3 linked regions of the Drosophila melanogaster genome follow. The protein of the gene in region 3 interacts with the protein of the main gene of each other region in a pairwise test. Each region holds a gene or a part of one and is shown on either strand. Other genes may lie near its edges. The genes, in order: BtbVII, drongo and ab.

Region 1 (6,049 bases), on a different chromosome or scaffold from region 3:
TTTTTGGAATACAATACACAATAATAGTTAAACATAGAAAATTTCGGCATTTCACAATTATTTCGTTGCACTTAGTCGGTAAATCAGTAATGAATAATCGGTATACTAGATCTCATATTTAGCTTTAGCATTCATTTCTCCAAGCGCTGTGTACTGAAATTGTTTCGAAATGGCACCGTTCGTGTGTGAGATATGCAGATGAAGTATGATTGTGGGCATTATTTCGATGAATCGAGAGTACACAGTGGTTCAGATTTCACATTGATTTGCTTAAGAGAACATAGGTGACAGTGCTTATCAGTTCAGTGAACCCCTAGTCAGTTCGCAAATGATACCAACATTGTAAAGCTATGTTCTTTCAGTCATGCTCGTTTCAAAAAAGTCAAGTCATTTCTGATCTATACACGTTTTCCCTCTTGACTCCTGCTTAGTCTATAGTGTGTCAGCTTTCTTTTGACTACGAATTGCAGTTAAGTTGTCCGTGATTTGTGTTTTTTAAAGTAATCAAGGCAAACAAAACTAAGAAACGATAAAAAAAAAGAATCCAACCTGGCGAATGAGATCCCTACCCGATGAACAATGAGCTTTGATGGAACAGTGTGCTGGCTTTTGATTTCCAATTGCGACTTACCCGAGTGCGAGGACTGGGAGTTCGGCGCATCGTGCTCGGATGGTGTGGTACCGCCGGAGATGTCCAAGGGCATCGTTTGGTTCACGCCGCCAATGTCGACTTCGGGCTTCTGCACGTGGGCACCGAGAAGAAAAAGAAAACAATTAGTGACTTTGCTCATGCGGACGAGGGTACAAGGTTAACGTGACCAATTTCATTACAATTTGCATGTGTAAGTGTCCGTGTCCATCGTCAAGATCCGAGTCCTGCGGCTGCTGCTCTAGCTCAGCGCTGGCCGACTCCTTGAGCAGCTTAGCCGCGTGCAGTGAGTGGCCGGCCAAGCCGCCGCCCGCACCAAATGTCATCTGGTTCATCTGGGCGAGACTGAGACCGGCGTTGCCGGCACCACTGCCCGCGTCCAGTGAGCTGTTGTGCTGCTCCTCCGCGTTGTTGCGATCGCCAGAACCTGCGTTATTACGAAAACCGGTTATTTTTTGAGACCTTACAATTTTGGATCTATCACGACGATGCTTTACCCAACTCCAACTCACCGTTATTCGAGGATTTGCGCAAGCGCTTGCGCCTGGTGGCCGGCGAGGTTCCAGCGCTCAAAGGCGACGGCGTACGTCGCATCTGGTGGTGATGCGTCTGCGCCGCCTGCGCCTGTCCGCTCTGCTGCTGCTGATGGTGGTGGTGATGGTGCTGCTGCTGTTGTTGCTGCTGCTGCGCCTGTTGTTGTTGCTGCTGCAACTGCTGCTGCTGCTGGTGGTGATGGTGCTGCTGCTGTGCCTGTTGCTGGGCCTGCTGTTGCTGCTGCTGCTGGAACTGTTGGGCCTCGCTGCTGCTCCACAGGGAGTCGCCGACGCTGCTTCCACTGCCGGCTCCCAGGCTGCCAGCCGAGTTGCCCGCTCCAGTGCCCACTCCCGCACCGCCCACCATCTCGGTGCCGTCGGTGGAGGACTTGCTATCCGACTTGGTAAGATTGGCCGGATCCGTTGGCATCTCCGCTAGGCCTTTGATCTTGAGCATCTCGGCGGTCTTGAGGATGTGCGGCAGCTGCTCCTGCGACACATTTACCTCGCCGTAGTACATAAAGTCCACCATGGTCTTTAGGTCATCGTACTGCACGTCCTTCAGGATGACAATGGGATGTTGGCACGGATTTGTGGTGAACAAAGCCTGTCGAACACATTTGAGTGTAATTCGTAAGGGATATACGCTGCGGCGATCTCCAACTTACCTGAAAGTACGAGCTGCAGGCGGATAGCACTATTTTGTGGGCCTGTAGTTGGCGACCCTCGGCTGCCAGGGTGACGTCCACCAGGGTGCCATTGTGCAGCAGCGAGGAGCACACGGAGATGAAGTTCGGCTGGTGGTTGTTCCACCGCAGGCAGAACTGCTGCACGGACATGATGTCGAGGGGTCCGGATCCGCGTCCGGGATGCGGATTTGGAGCTCCCTAAACCTCAATCTCCGGAGCAACCTCCTCCTCCTGCTCCCGCTCCTCCGCCTCCTGCTTCTTTCCTTCTTCGTAGCCAATTAATTCGCACTGATAACACTTTTTATCGCCTCCCGCTCGCCTCTATTGATTTTTATTAATTTTCCTTGCTTTCCGGTGTTTTGTTCGCTTTACTTTTTCGCTCCGACTTTTAATCAATTTAAATTTATGAACAATCGCAGTCTGTACATGTGTGTGTGCGTGTGGGGGGTCGGGATCACGGTTTTTTGGGGGGCGACGACTTCTATGCCGCACGCATCGCGAGTCACTGCAAAAAGGGGTAATAAAAATGGGGTTTAAATAAATCAAACATTATCGATGGTTACACAAATTGCTCAACAACAAATTCCACTCTCTCGCTTTCTTCCTCTCTCTCTCTCATCTGCTTTTCACAGCTGCGCGCTCTTCTCGCTTACAATAAAAAATCAAACAGAAACAACAACATCGGCGGGACTGCGTGTGTATGTAATTATACAGTCGCGAAAATGAAACACAACACACACACACACTGGAACACAACAGCCATACTTGTTGTTGTTGCTGCTCACTGGCCAAAGTTTTATTTTTGATAAAACCGAGAACGTAACGAAATCGTATAGCTTTTTGTATAGCCGCAGTGCTGTAGACCTTGAATTTTCTTTAATTCTTATGACGTAATTATATACGCGCCCCGCGCTCCTCCATCTCTTTCGCACTTAATCGCCTTCCCCATTCCCGTCTTCCTCACTCTCTCACCCACACAGACGACCGCCGACGACGTACTAATCGCTGCTTCTTCGTTTATTCATCGTATCGATATTTTCAGTTTTCAGTGTTTCAGTCGTATTTATTTATGTGCATGTCGCGCGTTATTTTCGTATGTCTTTTAGAGGCACAAAGATGATGCTCGAACTAGCCAAGCCGCCACATGTTATTCACTCGCTTTTCCCCCCACAGAATTCCTTTTCCTCTTGCTTTTTATCGCTTTTACAAACTTTGACTTTTTGTGGTAGGTTTTTGCTGTTGTATTTCTTCTTTTTCTTTTGCTTTCCAAAAACAAAATGGCGCGCAACAAATTTATGCGAGGGGCAAAACAACGCCGAAAACTGTTAGAGCGAGCTGAATTTCAATGCCTTTGACTGGCTCACTCTTTGCGCCAACTTTTTTACCACTTTTTACATTATTTTAATGCGGATTTCCTGGCGAAAAACGCATATGAAAATTCTTACGTTTTACTTCTTTATGCGAAAGATTTTTGTGACTATATGGCAACTTTGTATACAACGAGTTGACAGGTCGCTTAATAGTGTGACCAGTCCTAGATCAAAACTAGTATCCCAATTGTTAAAGATTGTCCCAAATTTTAAAATAATTTGTTTATTGTATTTAAATGGTTAACATTTGAATTGTTGTTTTAAAATGTTGACTTCGGTTATACATCTGATGAATCACAATCGGCGTTGCCACACTTTCCCCGCATTGTTCGTACTTAACGGAACCAGTTCGGTTCCCTTGGTGACTCGCGAATTTGTTGTTGGCTTTGGCTAGAGATGACAGTATTGAATAAACAACGATAGCCTGCAGCAGTCAAATTAAACTAATTGTGCTTATTGGGCGGCCAAATACGTAAATATCACTCAAAAGCCGTTATAAGGTACAAAAATAAGGGTAAGAATTGTTAAAAGCTGATTTCAACCAGTAAAACACCATTTCAACCCATCGATATTCGCATATCCATGCTCGCCGGTATCGATGCATTTTCCCATGTTCATCTCTAAGCAGCAGCTGCAAAAAAAATCAACTATACTATTTTACATTCGGTCCGTAAAGTTTATGAGAAAAGAGCTGCCTACAGGATTCCAGATACCGTTATGGAGGAACTACGCAAGCATTTATCCAAGGTGAACGTGCCATGCGCATCCGGGGCGGGCAGTCCTCCCATCTACAAGGACGAGTGCGTCTACTCCTATGACAATCCCGAGACGCCCACCGGTTTGTACGTGTGCCTGCACAGCTTTTTGGGCTTCGGCGAGGCGTATGTGCGGGAGTATGCCGACAAGACCGGCAACCGGGTCTTCCTCCACATCCAGCGGGTGAAGACGATCAAGGAGGGCGCCGACATGGAGGCCGAATGCGCGGAGTCGGAGGCAGGACCGGAACGGAAGATCACCCGCCTGGCCATTGGCGTCGAGGGCGGCTACAACGAGTCGGACATGGCCAAGAAGTACGAGATCAAGGACACGTACAGCATCGTGGTGGCTCCGCACCTGGATAAGAAGCTGCCCTATCCGGATCCAGAGCTGCCCATGCGTGTCACCCAGTCGGTGGAAGCGATCCTGGCCGCCGACTCGGCAATTGCCAAGTTGGAGAAGGCCACGCTGATGGGTGAGTTGCAGGATTGTTATCCCATGCTGACGAAGGTAGCCTAAAATCAATAATTTTTCAGGCACCTGGGATGGTGAAGTGCGTCAGGCGTCGAAGTACGCAGATAACCTGCAGCAGCTGGATAATGGCAAGAGGATTCCCCCATCCGGCTGGCAGTGCGAGAAGTGCGACTTGACCAACAACCTCTGGCTTAATCTGACCGATGGTTCGATCATGTGCGGACGCAAGTTCTTTGACGGCAGTGGCGGCAACGATCACGCCGTGGAGCACTACAGAGTAACGGGTTTCCCGCTGGCGGTGAAACTGGGCACCATCACCGCTGATGGCAAGTCGGATGTGTTCTCCTACCCGGAGGATGAAATGGTACTCGATCCACACTTAGAGCGCCATCTCTCCCACTTTGGCATCAACATGGCGGCGATGAAGAAGAGCGAGAAGTCGATGGTGGAGCTAGAGTTGGACATTAACCAGCGCATCGGCGAGTGGACGGCGCTTACGGAGAGCGAAAGTGAGCTGCAGCCTGTTGCTGGTCCTGGATACACTGGCATGCGCAATCTGGGCAACTCCTGCTACATAAACAGCGTGATGCAAGTGCTCTTCGTCATCCCAGACTTCCAGCAGCGGTTCGTGGGCACTGGAGCGGAACGCTATTTCAAAGAGTTTCCCAGCGACCCGGCCAACGACTTCAATATTCAAATGGCCAAGCTGGGAACTGGTCTGCAGTCGGGAAAGTACAGCAGTATTGCCGAGAACACTTTGGACACCGATCACAGCACCGGAATATCGCCGGCCATGTTTAAGAACATTGTGGGCAAGAATCACCCAGATTTCAGCACCAAACAGCAGCAAGATGCCAACGATTTCTATCTGCATTTGCTCACCCTGCTGGACAGGAATTCGCGGAACCAAACAAATCCCGCAGATGCTCTAAAGTTCCTGCTGGAGGATCGCGTTGAGTGTCTGGCCAGCCACAAGGTGAAGTACAATACCCGCGAGGAATACAGCTTCCGTCTGCCTGTTCCGTTGGACAAGGCCACCAATCTGGATGAGGTGCGGGAGTTCCAGGAGCGTAAGAAGGCGGCCCGCGAGACCGGACAACGGCTTCCGGATCGCGACATCGTGAGGCACAAGGTGCCTCTACAGGCATGCCTGGAAAGGTTTTTCGGCCCGGAGCTGATCGAGCAATTCTACTCCACTGCCATCGGGTCCAAGACGAATGCCAGGAAAATTACGCGATTGGCCACCATGCCCGACTGCCTGATGATTCACGTGGGAAAGTTCACGCTGGGCGACGACTGGGTGCCCAAGAAACTGGACGTTTCCGTAGACATGCCCGATGAACTGGATCTAAGTAACTGGCGCTCCGCTGGTGGCTTGCAGCCTGGTGAGGAGGCTCTTCCCGAGCCCGCCACAGAGGAGGTGAAGTTTGCATTTGACGAGGCGGTCATGTCCGAGTTGCTGACCATGGGTTTTCCACCGGAAGCCTGCAAGCGTGCTTGCTATCACACCAAAAACAGCGGACTTGAGGCAGCCTCCAACTGGTTGATGGAGCACATCGCCGACGAGGATATCTCGGA
Region 2 (6,018 bases), about 10 Mb from region 3:
TTACTTGTATTCGAAACAATTAAGCTGAGAAATCATCATGTAAGTCTGCGTTATTATCCTCCGGCTTTGCCATAGCTAACTCTCGATTCCAACAGGACGGAGTACTGGAAATCAAACGAGCGCAAGTTCTGCGACTTCTGCAAATGCTGGCTGAGCGACAACAAGGCGGTGAGTCCATAGAATAAACTCGCTTTTCGGCACTCTAATGACCCCTAATCCCGCAGAGCGTCGCCTTCCACGAGAGTGGCAAGCGGCACAAGATGAATGTGGCCAAGCGGATCACGGACATCAGTCGCAACAGCGAGAAATCGGAGCGGGAGCGCCAGAAAATGGACGCGGAGATCCGCAAGATGGAGGAGGCGGCCATGAAGTCGTACGCACAGGATGTCCATTCGCGCGGTGACATGACCGCCAGGTCCATTAACACGGTAATGAGGGCCACCGCCACTGCTGCCGCCTCAGGCGGAGCTCACTCCTTCGCCGGAAGATCACGCCAAGTGGACCCCATGCGCCTGGAAGGATTGTCCGACGAAGAAGAAGACCAGAGGCGGGTGGCTCCCGGCAAGGTAACAAGCGACGCAGCCGTGCCCGAGGCATCCCTCTGGGTGGAGGGCAAGTCGGACGAGGGACACACCTACTATTGGAACGTGAAGACCAATGAATCCGTGTGGAAGCCGCCGAAAGAGGGCTATCTGTCCTACGAGGAGTACGAGCGCATCAACCAGCTGGCCATCGACCAGCAGCAGATCTCCCAGGCCGAGGAATCGCTGAAATTCCGCGCCAATGTCGACGAGGAAGTGGCGAGGGTGAACCGAGAGAAGATGAAAGCCTTCCGCAGGACGGACAATCCCAAGGAAAAGAAGCAGAAGGAGGAGAGGCGTCAGACATTCAAAACGGAGGAAGAGGCGGCCACCAAAGAGATTGGACAGTGGCAAACTGTGGAAGTGAAGTAGGGCCTTCCTACTAGGTTCAAATGCATTTACTGATAAATTTATGGATTTTTGTAGAGCACCTGAGCAGCCCATCGACTGGCAGCTACCCAAAACGGATTACTACAGTGCTGCGCCCGTGGTTTCCGCCTCGAGTGAACCAGAACCTCCAGTCAAGAAGTTCAAGGAAAAGACGATTGGCGGTCTGGATGAGGAGATAGCCGCCACTGCGCCCGCCACGTTCAAGCGGAAATTCATCAGGAAGGGAAACAGCCGCCAGCGCGCCGAGGATTAAGAAGTACTCCATGTGCTTATGTGCATATTTCACCTACTAGTTAGGTTTAGGCATAGGAAATGTTTAGGTTTTTAAGTGTTTGCTTATACCAATTAAAAAGTGAGATGCGTTTAACTAATATTAGATTAAACATAGCTATTGTAGAATTATTATTATCTTTAGTCGACTTGCATTCAATAAATATTTCCCAACATTTTAAATAGTAATATGTTTTTTAAAAAGTTTTAAATTTCGATAACAGTTATCGAATTAGGTTCAATCGGTGTGTGTCTGTGCTTTAGTTGCGGCATATTTAGGTCTTAGAGCTCCGTCCAATTTTAGTGCATTTCCAGCGGCAACACGAGGTATGTTTCTCCCGTCCGCCAACGGTCACTCTGCTGCTGTTGTTGTAGGCGAGCGGTCGGAATTTGCGTCGGAATTGTGTTGAGTCGAGTCGCGCTATTTTGTTTCGAGTGCGCTGTGCTGTTTGGTTTCGTTCCGTTTCGTTTCGCTGTTCGTTTTCCACTCGTCTTCGAATCCGCACTGCAAACAAACAAGGAGAAGGGGAAGCAGCAAAAGTGGCGAGTGCATTCGCAGCGTCGAAATTTCAATTGAAATCTGAAATCTGTGTGGCAATTGCAGCGGCACTCGGTGTAAATAGATTGAATTGAAGCGAAATTCTGCGAGTCGAAGAAGTGAAAAGTAAACAATAACACGGGCAATCGGAAAAGTGGTTTTCGATAAATCGCACCGCACACACACACCTGTCAGTGTGAGTGTCAAAGTGAGTGTGTGAGTGTGCGTCGAAGGAGAGGAAAGGTCAAGCCAAAAATTGCGTAAAGAAAAGGAAAGGAAAGCTTAGAAGAGGGGAAGGGGAATTACGTCAGTTTCGCATTCCCGATAAAAATTTTTGATTCCCTAAACGATCCTGATAGCCAGCCATTACGATAGGCAAAAAACGATAACAGCGGAAATTTACGTCAATTTGGAGCAGAAAGTAAACGATACCAATTCCCGAAAGAATTCAAAAAATCAGGCAAGATTCAGTTCGTGTACGCTTACAACAGCTCCGCGCCCCACGCCGCCTCCTCCTACCGCACCGCCGTCGCCCCCTTTGCGCCCTACGCGGCCGAGCGGTCCACCCACCACCACCCACTCCCGCCCCCCGAGGAGCGGCTGCCCTCGGACACCGAGCAGCTAGCTGGATCCGACGAGGATCGGGCTCAGAGCCACGAAGCGGAAGCGGAGGAATCCGAGGAGGAGCGCGCAGGTAGCGGACCCTCCGTCAGGCCGCTCATCGCAGCAGCAGGAGCAACAACAACGACAACGTCGACGTCAGTAGTACCGGAAGCGGTACAAAGGGCGGCGGCCAAGGGAGCGACAGAGACGGCGACAATGGCGGTGGTGCGCAAGAAACAGGACGACAAGTACCTGCTCGCCCTGCGGGAACTAGTGGCCAGCGGGACGGGGAGCAATCGGCAGTGCTTCGACTGCGGCCAAAAAGGACCAACCTACGTGAACATGACCATCGGATCCTTTGTCTGCACCCGCTGCTCCGGAGTCCTGTAAGTATTTGCCTTCTTGTTGTTGTTTTCTAGTCTGGGATAATGTAGGGTAGATCCAGGAATTAGGCATAAGTCGCCTGCTAGGTGACCTTTGTTATGAGAATGTAACTGTAACTTGGCTATTCATATTTTAGTTATTTCTTTGGTTGTCTCTTTGAGTTTACCAGGTATTCAAGATACCTCTGGAAAATATTTCAAACAATTTCCGATGCACAGATTGATCTAGCTTGAGATTTGTAGAATAAGGATGGTGGGTTATGAACTGACAAATCTCTTAAAATCTTCCACAAGAAGAATCCAGATATACGACATTTATGGTTATGGCTTTCTTGAATGGCTTTTGGTTGAATTCACACATGTTTTTTATCAAAAAGCTGGCTACCTATATACATATTCTGATAACTGCCAAATGGGCTACCCCCACTGCGTTTAGGAGTCATATAAAATATTGCCTTGAGTGTTTCCAAAAATAGAAATGCAAATTGAGAGCTATCAACGTCGATCCGTGGACCTTTCTTGGTCTCCCGTGTTATCTTGACTTGAACCCAGCCAATTTGAACTCGCCTGACGTCCATTTGGGATCTGTGCCCGAGTGGAGTGACCGATAATTTGCGATCGATCGATGCAATGTCCGATCCCGCCCCCCATTATTATTTCGTATTGTGTGTGAAAGCGAAAGCAATTCCCCAACAATTTCGAACAATTTCGCACAATTTGGCTTCCTTTCCTTTTTGAATGCAAATGCAAATCGAAGACAAAACTTTCAATTGCGCGACATCGCGGCGAACGAAATTGTTTTGTCTTCGCCGGCGTCGCTTTCTATTCGTGTTTTTCCGTGGGGAGACGTTTTCGAGAGCCGCCCACCTGGCGGTTGAGTTGTGGGTGTCCTTGGCGCCCCTCAGTTTATTTTTTATTTTTGCCCCTCTAAGTAATTTGGCAAATTGGCTTTGATTTGTGAGCACTATGGCCAAATTGGGGTCATATATGTATTACCACTCCGCCGACACTGCATTTCATTTGATTTACGCATTTCCGGATCAAGCACATTACATGATTGCTCTTAAACTTCCGCTTGGCCCAGGTCCAGAAGCCCAGTCTCCCACGATTCGTGTGCCCCAGATTGTGGCCTCTCAATTGGACAGCATGCGGGTTTCTCCGCTGAGTTATCTCTATCATCGGAACCAGGTTGAAAAGTAGCCAACTGCAATGCGTTCGCCCTGCTGCACTCTGCAGTCCCCAACTCTTGTTTCGATGACTCATTGCCCATTCCTCAGTCTTCGGTGTGCGGTGCTCAATCCTCAATCCTTAGTCCTCAAACCTTGTTGCCAACTGCCAAGGGAAACAAATGTTGGCATGTAAATGAAAAGCCACATAAATGCCGGGGACACCAAGCGATTGCACTGCGAGAAAGGGTTAATGGTTAATTGTAACAAACAATTGGTCCTGTTAGTCGGATACTTCTGCGGTTTTTCAGTTACTAGTCTAACGACGTGCCACGTTTCTGCCGGTGTAGCCAAAAAGGGGTGTGGAAAGGTACTGCAGCAAATGGGGGACTCGGCCGAGGAAGGGGGCGTGGCAGGGGCGACAGCAGGCGACAACGAACTTCCTGGCTGAAAATGAGACTGGAACGTCGACTGCGACAAGGGAGCGAGTGCAGGGAATACCAAATGAAACCAACTCCTCCGACTCACGAAGAAATGGCTGTGCATGTTCGGCCCGCCTTTGGATATTGGAATCCGCTGCAGACCGGCCGGTCACTTGGAGCGCTTAATGGAGGAAGCGGTTCAGGAATGAGAATGGAACTGGCAATGGTAGTGGGTTTCAGAATGGGAATGTCCGCGGTGGCGCGGGGAGGAAAACCCGTCCGACGGCTTTTGCCAGCCACACTCGGTTGTATTTTTGGGCCGAAGTTGCTGCTGCTGTTGCGCCTCCAATTGCAGACAAATTGTTGCACCTCAATCAAGCAGCAGTCGCCGCCATCTGCTGCCACACCGCATTTCGGTTGCTTTGTTTTTTTTTTGTTTTTGTTTTATTTTACTCTTTGGCTTTTGCAGGGTTCAAAGCTTGTGCTGGCTCATAAAAGTCAAGAAACTTGTTGATTAGATAAGGCGAAAGCAAACGGCCATTGGGAGCAGAGCTGAGCAGAGCAGAGCGGAGCAGCAATGGTGAGCCACTTTCTCAGGCTTCGTCATCATTCCCACCGCACACAACACACTAACTACACACAGCAATGGTCATTTGAATACGAAGTTGCCGGCTTAATAGTGCATTATTCAATTATTAAATAACTTGGGGATGTGAATCAGTGCGAGTTCAGGCGAAAAATGGAAATACCCATTGCTAGATGTGAAAATGTTTAGCTATACATTGGAGGTGCTTATATTTCTGCTTTAAATTTCAGATAGATTTACTTCTTCTAGTAAGCATCTTTCATAATGCTTACTTTATTTAATACAATTTTACCATCAAATGCCGTAATTTGTTTTCCTTGTGTCAACTGTGATTTTTTCTAAACTGATTACATATACAAGTGTTTTTATACGCTTAATCTTTCAAAACAAGTTTATTATGTGCGATTTCCTGGACTTCGTTTTGGAGTGTTTGAGTCATTTTTATTATGTTTTTAAACTTTTATTTAAAATATTTTATCAATCTTCCCGGCTGAGCTATTTCTGTGGTCACGATTGTATGTTTGCAGTCATTCGTTGGTTGTTTGTGCGATTCTATCTGTCTGGGAGTCGATGACTGTAGTCATGCTATAGCACACATAAAATACATATATATGGCATATATGGCATATTAGTTGATATATAATATGAAATTATTAGATAAACTGATCTGATGCTTCTAAAAGTACCAAACTTCCTATCTCTGATATCAATTTGTTACCAAACCAAGAGGGGGTATCAAAAACCTTTCATATTTGAATTTTCAAAACCATTAAGTCGTATTGTAGGTACATTTGTACATACGGGCAAGTGAACTGTGGAGCAGACCCCACCCGCTTTCCGAATCCCCGATTCCCCATGCCCATCGCGTTGGCATTGCAGTTGCAGTCGAACTGGGCCAACTGCCTTCGAGTGGAGCCCACAAAAGCTCGGAGCACGTCTTTCGCTCTCTCGTTTTTTTTATTTCTTATTTGGCCCGTTCTGCGGCTCGTATGTTAATTTCCGATTATGAAACAGCATAAACATGTCTGCATTTGACAGCCCCGAAAAGAGGACCATGGGGGGCGGGGTTGGGGGAAGGG
Region 3 (6,027 bases):
AATCTCCACCCATCATTGAGTATCTCGGCATTTGGGCCACTTGGAAATCTCCTTTTTTTATGCCCTGCTCCTTTACATTTGATTGGAATTGTTGTCGTTTTGGTTGCGGGTCCTTGGCTAATGGCGACTGAGCATTTTATACCCTTTTTCGCAGGCAATAAAAACATTTTCTTTTTTGGCCACAAAATAATGAATAATATGAAGAAAAATACTTGCCGCAGCCGCGTTCGTTTTTTTTTTCCTTCTTCTGGAAAACAGAAAACGCATTAAGTGCGCGGTTTCCATTGTTTATAACATTTTTGCCACCCCAGAGAAGGAGGCAAAGGGATAATTAAGAATGCTTATTTATCTAGAACGCAGTCACGGCGCCGATTGTCCAGCTTCCTTCCACTTTTTTTTCATCTGACCGCAGGGGGGCAGAAACCCCATGAAAAGGTTCGTAAAAAGCCAAAAAACTTTTATTTTTTATGATAAATTATATGGAGTGTGGGGCAAAAGGATGCGGAGAAGACGGCGCCAACCAAAGGTCATTCGAAAACTGGGCAGGAAAAAAGTGAGAACCGAGGCTGAAGAATGATTTGAGACATAATGAAATAAAGCAGAATTTTAGAGAGAAGATGACGGCCAAAATGTACTTATATTCTGCACTTTTTCATACAATCTAAGCTAAGAGCAAAAGGTTATTGCACAGAATATAATTACAGAACTGAAGTAATGAAATAAGCTCTCAAACTCTGTGAGCAAATTTGTTAAGCTATGCGTTAAGTTTTAAAATAGTAATTATGGAATAAGAAAAATTTGTAAGCAACTAATAGGAGGTTCTTTATGCGAGTATTTGAATATGTAATGACTTTTTTGAATTCTAAATTGATTCCTGCTTACCTAATCATGCTTTAGGCCCTCAAACTAAAGTCAAAGGTCACCTGTTCTTGGACATTTACCAAACACTCGCAAGTGTTCAACCTAAAAATGGGTTTTCGGCCTGTGCCGCAGATTTTCTCCGCTAATTAGCCGGGCCGAAAGTTGGCGAGTTGAAAATTACCCAACACAAAAAAAATCTAAGAAACGGAGCTGGAGAATCGATGCCGGTGGGCAGCAGCAAAAGCAGCAGCGCACACGCAAATCACTTGTTTTTATGTAATTAACTGCTCAGCCCCCCAGAAAAGGCCATCGAAGTTTCTTCGCCGGAGGTTAACGGAGATTTGGCCGGGTAATTAACCAAAAACCGATCGCTTCTTGCCGCGTCTAAAGTCGAAGTTTTTGGCATAATTTCCAAGTCCGACGATTTGCGTTTTCGGCTTGTAAAAAAATCTCTTTCTGGTATTGGCTTCTTTTGGCCGTTCAATGACCGATAAAATTGCCTCAACCATCGCGACCAACTCGACCGACTCCATCGATGCCTTTTAGCGGGCTATTGATTATTAATATTTTCTATTTTTCCCTCTCTTTGTGTCTTTTTTCTGGTTAGTTGTTCCCAAACCCCTTTTTTTTAACCATTTGCTGTAATTACAGCGACGCGTTAATTGTTCGCCCCCTTGACCCTTTTGTTTCCCAGCATCCCCGGGTTTCCACATCTACGTATTTGTGTTTGTTTTCAACGGGCCGGTGAAAAATAAAAACAACACTCGCCCAGGCGAGGAATCTACACTTACGCGATGGTGTTTGGTGTTGGGTATCGCAGACCCCCGACTCCGAGACTAAATCCAAAAATTCAGTCGAGAGTCAGGTTCATTAGCTGCTATTACCATTATTGGCCATAACACACAACACTACCTACCTATGGGTGCCACAGCACTACTGCCTCCAAAAAAGTTGGCAATTACTGCACACGAAAATTCCCCCGAAAACGTTTTCCCTAAGTTGCAAGATTCATTTATCAAATCGCAAGAGGACACCAACTATTCGGGTCTGTCTTCAAGAGCAGCAGACCAATCAAGAAAGCGTGTAACACCAAAAAATACATAATTTTCTTAGATTCACACATTTTGGCCAACTAGTTTAAAGACAATTCCAAATGCTGACGCCTTTTGTGAGCCCGATTTTGTAAGCCATTAACTTCGGTTTACGATCACTGAGAGAGATCGCAAACAAAGATCGCGGTCATAAAACATTTGTTAACCTAATTCAATTTATGTAAAACAAAATCATGACATATAAAGTTATAAAAGTCTAGGGAAGCGAGAAAGTTCTATTTTACTACGATTTTAATGTGATCTAGTTAAACAGCTTAAACGATTTGATTCTCGTTTGGTTTCGTTTCCAGAATATTAGTTACATTAAATTTAAGTAAATCAATAACTTAAAATTCATATACTGTCAGAAAACAAACATTGGAACTAACCCCAAAGACTTCAACGATCAAATTCCCTGTTAAAAAGTTGCCATCCAAGCAGATTCGTACATACATTTCCAAGAATCAGTTTTAAAACTTACCGTTTGCACTGTTGATTTCTTAATCTTCTTTTTGAAAATTCACGATGATTGCTGAATTTGTTGTTGTGATGCCACAATTGTAAAATTTGAACACTTTTGAAACACTGAGGGTTATTTTCTTTGGGTATTTCCCTTTATGAATTTGTTTTCTTTAAAGCCGATTTTGAATTTAGTTTGATTTTTCAACACTGCACAACTGCAATCACAATAAGAACAAAATGAATGAGAATCGCTGGCAAATCAGAGAGCATTTTCCTGGGTTTTCCGAGAAGCGGAAAACAAACGAAACGAAGTAGAAGAAAAACGCCACAAGAATAAGAAGAAGACGAAGAAGCCGTCGCGCTGCACTTGCGATTTTTGTTGTTTTTGTTTTTTGTTTCGTGCGCTCTTTTTCGCAGCGAGTTTCGTGTTCTGGTTTTATTTTCTCTGATTCTGATTGCGATTGTGAATCTGGTTCTGTGTGAATTTCGTTTTTATTAATAAAATGCACAACTTCCGTTATTAATTTTGCAACGACAACAATTGCTGCGTGTGTGTGTGTGTGTGAGTGTTTGTGTGTTTGTTTGCGGATTTGTGACAGCCGCTGACAGGCGAAAAGCAAAAGCAACAAAGTGACAAGCATGAGCGTGTGTCGCCTAGGAGGAAAAGCGGAAAAGCAAACCGAAAAATAATAACAACAAAAAGTGGGCGACAAACGGGCGGTGGGCGGCAATCGAACGGTACAACCTGTCCGCTTTTTTACAACCGCCCCCACTTCCCCCGTTTTCTTCAACGATTTCGCTCCTGTGCACGCGACTCGCGCTATCTCGCTCTTTTGTTGCGGTTTTTTTTCTGCCTGTTAGCTGCATTCATTCATAAAAATCGGGTTGTAAAAAAAGAACAGCGGCAGCAGAAAAAAACGTCGCTGATTTTATTTATTTATGCCAATTTGCCGACGCGTCGCCGCTGCAGTTCTTGTTGTTTATAGTTTCGCACTAGGAACGGAAGTTTCTTGGATTTATTTCGAAAACAGTTAACAGCACCAAGTTTATTCGTTCCAATTCGGGTTTATATGCATTTTAATAGTTTTTCGTTTTTAATTTATTTTTATTTTATATTACAGTTCTTTGTTTTCTTTAGTTATGTTATGGTTTGTATTTATTTAGTTGAGAAGTTCAAATTCAGTTGTCTCTGTGTTTCTGATAGTTTACTAAGCCATCAAAACACTGAAAATCACATATAAGCCAAATTAGCCGCACTTGAACCACGACACTTGCTGCCCGTCTGATTTCTGAAATTGTACTGCGCGTAATAAGAATTCCTGTTTTCGTAAGCGGTAAGTAAAATCCGACGCACTCTTCGTCGGCTCCACGTTCGATGTTCGAAGTTCGACGTTCGATGCTCGTCGTTTGACGTTCGACGGCGAACATGTTGCATGCAGCGCGTCGGTGGTTTCTCACTCGTTTTTTTTTAGCCCCATCCTCCTCCAACTGGCCAACACACTCACAGACACACACACACACACACACACTGGCGCACAAGGGGGCTATTATCTAAGCCATACAATCAGATTGTGTTTACTTTTCCAACCGGGCAAAGTGGCAAGGTGAAGACTGCAGAGAGCCCGAGAAGAAAGAAAGACGGACGGCCGACCAATTGAATTGCAGAATTGCCAGCGCTTTCTTGGCCAAAAGTTTTCGGTAGAAGAGAGCAGCCCGAGTTTTTGATTCATTGGGTGTTAAGTGCGATAAAATGTGCGCTCTCTGATAAATTATAGTTTCCATAAATAAAGTAGCATTTCATCGAATTAAGTTATTTCTCAGTCTGAAAAGGAAATGTAAAATGTAAGTTTAAGTACAAAAATAAATATAAAAATGAACTAACCCTAATTTTTGAATTAAAATATACTTTAATTTACTTTAACTTTACTTACAAAAATGTGGACCAAATAAGAAAACAAACTAAGACACAAGCATAACTTTAGTCATTGGAATGCACTGTAGTTGTGAGACGGATTTCAATAAATCATTTGACCTTATTTGAAATTGTAATTAAAATGACGCAGCTAAGGAAAAACGTTCAAATGTGCAAATTACTAAATTTTCTAAACGGATGTCTAAACGAATGAATGTACACAGATATTTGTCCAATAATAGTGTAATTTAACAATAAGGCTAAAGATACATGAATATACTTAATATGATGTATTTTCCCTAACCATACTTTCCTTAGATATGCGGAGCTTTATGGTAGAATAATAATTCAAAAAAAGGAAGACAGTTCCGTGGAGAACTGGAACCGCACCTTAATCTTGCCCTCCTCCGATTTCTCGCAGTAGCCGCCCCTGCAGGAAGTCATTAAGCTGCCTGAGGCTGGAATAAATAAAGTTTGTCTCCCACTTCGGCAGACGCTAAAGCTATGAGGTGCCACCCCTCGGCAGATGCAACTTTATTAAAGTCGACAAAAACAAAATAAATTTACGTGTAAAAACACTCCAAATGGCAGAACACCGAAATTGTCGCCGCACCACCAAACATCCCAACGATCCACAAATGCACAGAGTTTCGGATGCAACGATCTGTAGATGCAGCTACAGCTTCCCAAAAAGGGAGCGCAAGTTGGTGGCATGCGGCAGCTAATGTATCTAATAGATACACGACAGCACGTCAAGCGCTTCCATTGGAGCGAGGTATGAAATTGGTTGGGCGGAGGAAAGTTCCATACCCAAACTCAATGGGTATATAATCTTGCACTATAAGAAAGAATCTAGAAAATTTTTCAATGTTTAAGAATTCTTCTGCAATTCTGTGTTAACTACTCATAATATATCTTGTTAATTGTTATATATAGCTAACAATTCTTGCCTTTTAGGATATCAAAATGTATTTCATAATTAAAAGATTTCCACTACTTTATCTCAGTGTAGCGGGGCTGAATTTCTCATTCTTCGCTTCACTTCGCTCCACCTTAGTTTTATGTTTGGCCCCACCTCCGCTGCATTCTCTTCGCTTCTCGTGCTTCTCTAATTAACATTGGGATTGTAGTACGCTTTTAATTTATATCTTATTGATGCCGGCGACATTTGTATTTATTTTTACCCACAAGCACCCCCCCCCCCCTCCACTCTTCCAGGGGCAAGAATGGGTGGTGGTGGTGTGTAGGTACTGTCCAAAATTCACTTCCCAAATCTGTTTCTTCACCGCCCCACCGCATCCCATCTAGTTGTGTGTGTACGTGTGGAATGTTATTTTTATCGAGAGTGAGTGAAAAAATTGTGGAAACCTAAAATTTATATGGAATAGGTGTCGCCGCGTCTTTATATTTTGGGTATAATTATTGTTAATATTTGTTGCTGCCTCCGCCCCTGACAGCCCCCCGCTCGTTCACTTCTTCTCTGCTCGTCTCTTTTTCCTTTGTTGTTGTTATTTTTTATCTATACTCTAATTAAAATATTCGGATGTATGCGCTTAATATATGTCTGTGCTCATATATGTATATATATAAATATAAGCATGTACATATATTTTAATGCCACGATCTGTCTAAATAATCTCGTACGCATTTCAATGGTCGAACAAAAATTGCTTGGAAAAAATGAAACTAATAAGAACAACA

Evidence for each region.
Region 1: the proteins of ab (region 3) and BtbVII interact in a two-hybrid assay, tested with the Drosophila melanogaster proteins (one large-scale study listed by BioGRID).
Region 2: the proteins of ab (region 3) and drongo interact in a two-hybrid assay, tested with the Drosophila melanogaster proteins (one large-scale study listed by BioGRID).

Annotation. Positions count from the first base shown.
Region 1 is NT_037436.4:3,145,955-3,152,003, reverse strand, and holds the start of BtbVII (BTB-protein-VII), read right to left. Parts: upstream 3,359-6,049; 5' UTR 3,317-3,358; intron 3,305-3,316; exon of another isoform or gene 3,267-3,304; intron 3,103-3,266; exon of another isoform or gene 3,083-3,102; intron 2,872-3,082; exon of another isoform or gene 2,844-2,871; intron 2,377-2,843; 5' UTR 2,022-2,376; coding exon 1,851-2,021; intron 1,790-1,850; coding exon 1,162-1,789; coding exon of another isoform or gene 1,147-1,161; intron 1,077-1,146; coding exon 832-1,076; coding exon of another isoform or gene 820-831; intron 741-819; coding exon 632-740; intron 1-631. Other genes in the region: Usp5 (ubiquitin specific protease 5), read left to right, coding at 3,959-4,472, 4,534-6,049.
Region 2 is NT_033779.5:846,649-852,666, reverse strand, and holds the start of drongo (drongo), read left to right. Parts: upstream 1-1,595; 5' UTR 1,596-2,598; coding exon 2,599-2,768; intron 2,769-6,018. Other genes in the region: CG4291 (uncharacterized protein), read left to right, coding at 38-39, 96-168, 225-949, 1,008-1,224.
Region 3 is NT_033779.5:11,208,370-11,214,396, reverse strand, and holds the start of ab (abrupt), read right to left. Parts: upstream 3,720-6,027; 5' UTR 3,650-3,719; exon of another isoform or gene 3,624-3,649; intron 2,630-3,623; 5' UTR 2,434-2,629; intron 1-2,433. UniProt on the Drosophila melanogaster protein: Expression is vital for development; may be involved in transcriptional regulation. In embryos, muscle specific expression is required for segmental nerve b (SNb) motoneuron target recognition within ventral longitudinal muscles.